Danio rerio: one gene and its partner. The main gene of each other region encodes a partner of the protein of the gene in region 2 in a complex. Links are inferred from orthologs where the notes say so. Each region holds a gene or a part of one and is shown on either strand. Other genes may lie near its edges.

What was found.
Region 1: smek1 (region 2) and ppp4r2b share a complex: the UniProt entries of both Homo sapiens proteins name them as parts of the PP4 complex. The link is inferred for Danio rerio from reciprocal best matches to the Homo sapiens genes PPP4R3A and PPP4R2.

Annotation. Positions count from the first base shown.
Region 1 is NC_133181.1:46,718,368-46,722,299, reverse strand, and holds the start of ppp4r2b (serine/threonine-protein phosphatase 4 regulatory subunit 2-B), read right to left. Parts: upstream 2,235-3,932; 5' UTR 2,145-2,234; coding exon 2,111-2,144; intron 826-2,110; coding exon 744-825; intron 253-743; coding exon 82-252; intron 1-81. UniProt on the Homo sapiens protein: Regulatory subunit of serine/threonine-protein phosphatase 4 (PP4). May regulate the activity of PPP4C at centrosomal microtubule organizing centers.
Region 2 is NC_133195.1:36,337,878-36,341,709, reverse strand, and holds part of smek1 (serine/threonine-protein phosphatase 4 regulatory subunit 3), read left to right. Parts: intron 1-738; exon of another isoform or gene 739-1,499; intron 1,500-3,096; coding exon 3,097-3,287; intron 3,288-3,425; coding exon 3,426-3,637; intron 3,638-3,832. UniProt on the Homo sapiens protein: Regulatory subunit of serine/threonine-protein phosphatase 4. May regulate the activity of PPP4C at centrosomal microtubule organizing centers.

The DNA of each region.
Region 1 (3,932 bases), on a different chromosome or scaffold from region 2:
GATCAATTTCAGATAATGAATGATAGACATTAAAATTGCCACAACACAATCCCACAGTTTCGCCAAGAATAACAAACTTACCCATTGTATTCATTGACAATCTTTAGGATTCGCTCCTTCATTTCTTCAAAGGGAATTGACTCCACGTTAGGGTTGGCAGGCCCTCGTTGCTCTGGAGCCGATGCATGGAAATCCTCCATTACTTTTTCCAGTTTAAATACGAAGTAGGTTTTAAATTGAGACCAGGACACCCTGAAGAGATATACAGCATTCACAGCTCAGTTTATTTTTAGATTTGTCAGTCACAAAGCTGTTTATTATATAACTTACTATTATATGGGCTTTAAATGATTTGGTTGCAATTGTTACATAATGTGAGTAGAGTCCAGGGTGATGTGAGTGGCATAAAACCAGCACGACTGTTAATAACACATTTCAGTGTCATTGAGCAAATATATTTGACAGCAGAAGTATTACAAAGAGATAGATATTAATATTTTTTTAATTTTCATTCATGTATTCTAAAGAGTTCATGAAATGAGAGCAGGTCGGCCAAGTCAGATCTAGTCGATAAGTACAAGGTTTAGTTTGTTTTGGAACAAAACCAAAAGGTCATATAACAACCCACCCTCTGGTGTTACCTAAAAAAGCAGTTATGATTTTTAACAAACCACTAGAAGACAAAGGTGAAAAGGGTTTCTGTGTCCCACTTAGATCACTCATAGATATTTGAATGTACTTACAGGGTTTCCCCAGTCTTTGCAATATGGCACAAAAACTGGTCCAAAACTGTAGACGCTTCCTTCTTCACCTTCTTGTCAAAATCTGCAGGAGACAAAAGCAAAAGTTATTTTGGAGTGCATGCAACTCCAAATCCTGCTAATGCATTTCAGTCTATCAATAATATTTTAGTTCTGATTGACTCCATTCTAGTTCAGACATCACAAATATAAGGAGGAAATAGTCGTTTATTGTTCTTTCAATTATTTGTTCGTATTTTCACACAACTACAAAGCGGCTCTCTTTCTAGATAATCTTCATGCATTAAAACCAAACACAATTTTCTATTCTGAGCGTCCAGAAACAACTATAATATTATGCACACCTTTATGAAAATATAGAATCATTTTCCAAGCACAGATCTATTAACAGGCAAGCAGTGCAACTATGATAAACATCTAGGTTATGTAAACATGTCGTTTGTAATCTTAAACTCATTTACAAGTTCCATAACTTTGTTATATCTTTTAGCCGTTACCTTTCAACAATTTGGAACAATATATATATATATATATATATATATATATATATATATATATATATATATATATATATATATATAATCATTTAGTGATCAAAACCACTTCCACTTCCCTAAAAAATAAACAATATACGTATATAAAAAATAAATATAAGAACGGCAAATCACTCATTTACATCAAATAGGCCTTGATCAGACAATTGTGAGCTTTCATTAGAAATATGAGAAAATATCCTATTCCAAACACACTTACATAAAGCTCATACAGGTACAATAAATAGTAGTATTATATTATTTTGTCACCAAAACAATTTGTACTACTCACAAAAATCATTATTAAAACATATAAATAATAATGAGAAATTATTCATTGATATTTTTTTAAATAAACTAGGCTAAGAGCAGAGCTAAAGTGCAACTTAAATGAAAGATTTCTCGTTAAATACAAAAAGAAAATCACGTTAAAGAAAGAACAAACTCACAAAGAAAATGTTAAAATCATTCACAAGTTTATAGTTAACACTGAACACACAGATGTGTAAGGTTAGAATACTTAATTCAACTCTACATCATAGCAGTCCACTACCTAGTAAACTCCAACAATAGCCTTTTTATTAACGTATTAATAATCCAACCCTCCATTTTCTGACAGAAATTTAAAGTCGTCGTAAAAATAGAAGAATGAAACCTGCTGATCTGCTCTTAACACACAACAGACCTCGAAAAACAGGAAAAGCCATTTAGCCACAGGCCATGCTAGCATGAGCTAACTCACATTAACCAGACAATAACCACATATAACTCCATCCTAAACTCGCCCTGACCGCCTCAACACACGCGACCGGGTACCTTTGAGAGCCTCCAGAAGAGTGTCTATCTCCATGTCTGTGTTGTTTTCCCTGTCTCCTGTTGGAAAGCGAGAGCTGATGGCTGCTGTTGAGCTCAGTGAAGAAGAGGAGATGGGAAACATTTCAATATGGCGGCGACTGCGACGTCACTGCCGGCCGCTCTTCAGGAGCGCTGGCTGTTGCGCAATAGCATGGCCGCGTTCCAAAGCCTAGTCAGCCTCCTATTTAGGCATCATTTCTGGGTGGTTGAACACAGTGTTTTTGTTGCTGTGCAGCAATACCTAGTGAACGTCTCGTGTAGGCGGTATTTTAAAGCAGAATAGTCACATTTCGAGCTAAGTGTATGATCATAAGTGCTGTTAATGTTTAGCAGCCTACAAGGATTTGAAACACTTCTATGTGACTTGAATTATTTAACCTATTTATACCTGAACTCTCGTCTGTAAATTTAATTAAACATTAGAATGACTAATCTGGCTCTGAATTGTAACTAAAACAAAACGTAGCCTAGCCAAATCATTCAGCTACAAAGCCTAGGCTACTACAGGGCTGATGTCTAAATAAATTGTCTGAGGGGTATTTATATTGCACTGTACTGATTAATAATAATAGATAAATATAATACAAACTGTGGAATGGTCATTTAAGTGTACACCCATAATGATATTGAAGTAGGCATCCTGCAAGGATTTGAAACAACCTGACTGAAATAATCAGCCCATCCAGCAAGCATTTTATGTTTTTAAAAGAGGTCTAATAGATGTCCAAAAATAGTCATCTCGGCTAAAACAAGGCTAAATTTGGGCTGTCAGTGAAAATAGAATAGACGTTTAAGAATATAGGCCAAAACTAGACCAGTCATCAAATAAACAGAAATGAAAGACTACACATATAGAGTCTGTCTATTTTACGACTAGTCTAGTTTTGGGCTATTCTTACACGTGTATTGGATTTTCAGTGACAGCCCAAGTTTAGTCTTGTTTTAGCCAAGCTGCCTACGTTTAGATGTCTTTTAGACGTCTATTAAACCCAAAAGTGTTTGCAAATAATAACTGAACACTCATCTTTCTGTCTAAACACGTGACTGTTTCTTGCTCTTAATTTTACAAAATGTACTTGTAACCATCCAACTAAAACATCATGCTAATATTAGGTCATCTTTATAGTGTCTTTTAAAAATGTTAGTGTTTCCAGTGCATAGACTATAGCCTATTGTCTGGGGGTTAATACAATATATTGCAAGACAGCATGGAAATAGGCATCTTACCACGATTTAACAACAACAACAACCTGACTGAAATTAATAGACTATTTATAACTGAATACGTCTCTTTTAATAAGCACAGGTAGGACCAAAGTTGCTCCTGAATTTTAAACTACCATACAAAACATACAAAAATACATTATGCAAAAAGAACTGCATAAGACAATGTTAAAATAATGCATATTTATTCTTTACATTTTTGACATACTTCTGTATAAAAGGACAATAATACATATAATATAAGACATTTAGAAAGAAGAACAGAAAAAAAAACACGAGAGAAGAACATTCCTGGTGCTCCATCTTTTCACACAAACATAACATGAGATGAATAATAGTCTCCAGTTAAATAAATCTCATCACTGATCCCAGACCAGTGACAGGAGGTTGGAAACTAGTCACAAATATAATTAAGCACATTGTGCTAATGAACATATAAAAACACACATCAAAACACACCCATTTTCCCACATTCACACAAAAAAAGCACAGTCAACACAGTAAAAGGCTGCAATTACACAACAAAACTTACAGATTACAAATTCTAAAATGAGATGGG
Region 2 (3,832 bases):
AGTAGTGTGGTAGGCCTAATTAAGCAGCTATGCTCTGCAAAGTTAAAAAACGAGGCATATTAATTTGTATTAATAAGAATGTTTCTTAGTGTCAGCCACATTATACAACATTATAAATAGTTTGAACATTAATACAGTACTGTTTTTATAGGTTAAAAAAAACAAACAAAATGAATGTGTTTGTCAGAAAAGTAAGTGATCGCATGCAAAAAATACACAGCTTGACCAATTCATACATGATTTATTTATTCATACATACAAAATTTCTATGATTTGAGATCTCATCTTTTGTAGACAGAGTAAATGGGACCTTAGTCTCTGTGTGCAGTTAACCCAAACTTCACTAATACATTTTAGTTTTTAAAACACAAGTTTGGCTACAGTTTTTAAGCCCCGAAAACTGAGCTTTTTGAAAACGCTGAAGAGGCCATTTTCATTTTACAACACTGCTGCTCTTTGTCATTGTGGATGGGGGAAACTGAGACATCTTAAACGGAGGCATGGCTGCAGACGTTCGCAATCTGATTAAGGCTTTTTCTTAATATTAAGTGCATAAAGTTCAGTTTTGCATCTTTTCCTTAAGATCCGACTTTGCAAGTTTGATATGGAAAATAAACTCCCAAGGACATGTCGGGTGTACCTTCAAGGAAAAGTGTAGTTTATAACGTCATTCACATCACTCTGGCTACGCTGTTTCACTATCTTAATAATAACAATCAAATGAAAACATGATCTAAGGAACTGCCTACTTTCATTTTGATATTAACAACTTAACAGATGCCAAAAATGTAAGGCATCATGTAGCTACATATTTATGTCATATTCACTGTATGCATATTTATAACAAAACGGAGCCTATAACTTAACTGCCTCCTTTAATGTTCTTCAAAAAATATGAAACATACCCTCTCTTTTGTTGAATATCAGTTTTAATAATCAGTAATATCAATTATAAAAATATAATGTACTATAGGTTTATACAATATAGGCAAGCAATCAGTCAAATGTGCACTATCAGTGTTTGTAGTTACATTAATTGATGTATAATTTGCGCTCCGCCAAAACGCGTTACCAGAGAACAAGTAATAGATTTAAAAGACCAAAGAGTCAATAGATAGTCAAGATGACTTTAATCTATCACATTTAACAACTATAATTAGATAAAATCCAGCAGTAGATCTATGGTGAACTTTGACGTGCGCTGCTCTTACCTGGGTAGGTGGGTGTTTTGACTTCATGATGTAAGAATAGGCATTGAAGTAAATAACATTCATATTGTGACAGTTTTTTTGTAAATAGGAGAAGAACCATGCATCAAGCAAATTACTGCCAAAAAGAGAATAGTTTATTATACAAAAATCAAAGATAAACAGAAAATAGTTATGAGAAAGAAGAATAAAATAGATGACAACAAATAAAAAACATTTAAATTATATACAATTTATAATAACAAAATCCAAAAACAATAAACCCCGCAGGGGAAAAGGACAAAAGTGGCGCTGAAAGAAAAGAAAATAACAAAAACAAAAATCAAACTCAGTATAATCCTTTAACCTAACTGAAATAAAATAATCGAAAGCAAGTCTTCGGCGTTTACAAGCCCTAACTTGCCTACTCTAAACTTAACCAAACCGTAAAATACAAAGCCAGCGCTCACTCTTAAACCTGGTGTGTCTATACACACTTTAACTAAGTGATGTAAGGATGTACGTCATGTGACATCTACCTCTCCAAATCTCCCTGGGTAAAACAAAGAATATCAACAAAATTTCAAACAAACAACAAAAATAATATTAATGAAGATAAACATAATGGCAAGAACAACTTTTGACAAAGCAATATTAAGTACCACAAAAAAACAAAAGAAATAACGAGTGGCAGACTAAAACAAAGAACAAAACAGGAACGCAAAAGCCTCTGTCCGGCGTCCCACTCGTCGTCTTTTTAAAACCCTGGCAACCACTCAGATTGACTGCCGAAGCCACCACATCACTGAAGATAATGATGATTGACTGCTCCTACAGCCAATAACAATTCGAAGGGGGTTGACTCTTTAAAACTGAAAGAGAGAAGAGAGACAGAGAGAACAGGTCCGCGTGTGCGCAAGAGAGAAAAGAGAGAGACATGCATGCAAAATTCCAGGAGCGTAACAGTGGCCTTTAATTGGGCTATATTTTAGCTCCAAGCTTCATGCATGGCGAATTTGCTTGAGTCTATGTTTTGTGTTGAGCAACATTTAAATCACATCCAGATTAATTGGCCTAAATCTGACATAACAAATTAATCGAAAGTCACACTGCTTTACAAAACAAATTTCTATATCAAAATAACAAAAACTTTATATATCAAAACGTGCTTTAAATTTCATAACTATGGACACATTTTAACACATTTGTTATAATTGTTTTACCAATGATGCAGCATGGGGAAATTCCTGACTTTGCAGTAACTGAAATGTCAACACTGCACTGGTTTGCAAAAGTGCTTCACTAGCGCATATCTGCTCCAAGCGCTGTAGCTGTGCACCTCTTTTTCTGGCTCTGCACCAAAGTGGGTTGATTTTTAGCGTATGATGGAGTGATGAACTAAAGTAAACATTATAAGCACACCGATGTGATCGTATGCTTCAGGGAACAGCTGGCACTGATCACATTAGTGTAATTGTTTGCTTCAAAGGGTTAAAAGTGTGTTCATTTTTTTCTTTCTTTTATTATTCAATATTTCTCCACGTACCTCTAGATGAAAGTACCACAGTTTAAGAACCACTGCTTTAGTTTTAATAGGGCTATAAAATCAGTATCTTGTTTTATAGAGGAAAAAATATTTTCATACAAAACATTTTTTTTAAGTGTAAAATGTATTCTTTATGAAATACAAACTTAAAATAATTTGATAAAATAAAAAGTAAACTGTATAGGAAGTTTTCCCCCTCTGTTTTAAGAACAACTGTGAAACTATTGAAGTCAATATTTAAAAGGAGATTGCATCTTTGTCACCTTTTTTCTTTTTTGGAATTTGAGCTGCTATGATTTTATTGGTATCAAATGGTGTCATTCCATTATGTTTTTTTTCCCCTGTCGTCTTGATTATTTTCAGTATGCGGTCGATTCTGAGAAATCACCGTTTTCGCCGGGATGCACGGACACTGGAAGACGAGGAGGAGATGTGGTTTAATACGGATGAGGAAGACTTAGAGGATGGTGAAGCAGTTGTGCCTCCGTCGGACAAGATGAAGAATGACGAGGACCTTATGGATCCCATCAGCAAATTTATGGAGAGGAAAAAATGTATGTTACTGCTACTTACAGGATGGTGTGATGATCAGCTAGTATTGTCCTCCACTTGATTGCAAGATAATATTATGTAATGTGTGTTGTTTGTTTGATTGATAACTTTTTTGTACTTTCTCCTTCACTTTCCACAAGTGAAAGATTCAGAAGAGAAGGAGGTGTTGACAGGGAAAGCAAGTCTCTCAGGACGGCAAAGTCCCAGTTTTAAACTGTCCTTCTCCAGCTCGCCAAAGGCAAGCCTGTCCTCTCCGCCGACTGCATCCCTTCATCCCGGTTCACCTGGTTCTCCTAGCTCTCCCGGGACAGGGGCCCGGAGCTCTCCCCCTTCGGCAGCTGTCACCACTAAGGTATTTAACAAGAATTGAAAGTGCTTTAAAATTCTAGTTGTTTCCTTTTTTACTATTGTAAGACAAAGTATTTGGCAGGGTTCTAACAGGTGCTGGAATTGCTTGAATTTTAATCTACTGTTTTTTTAAAGGTTTAAAAAGTGCTTAGATTTTGGATAAAGTGCTTAAAACTGCTTAAAAAATGTAATTGCTTTT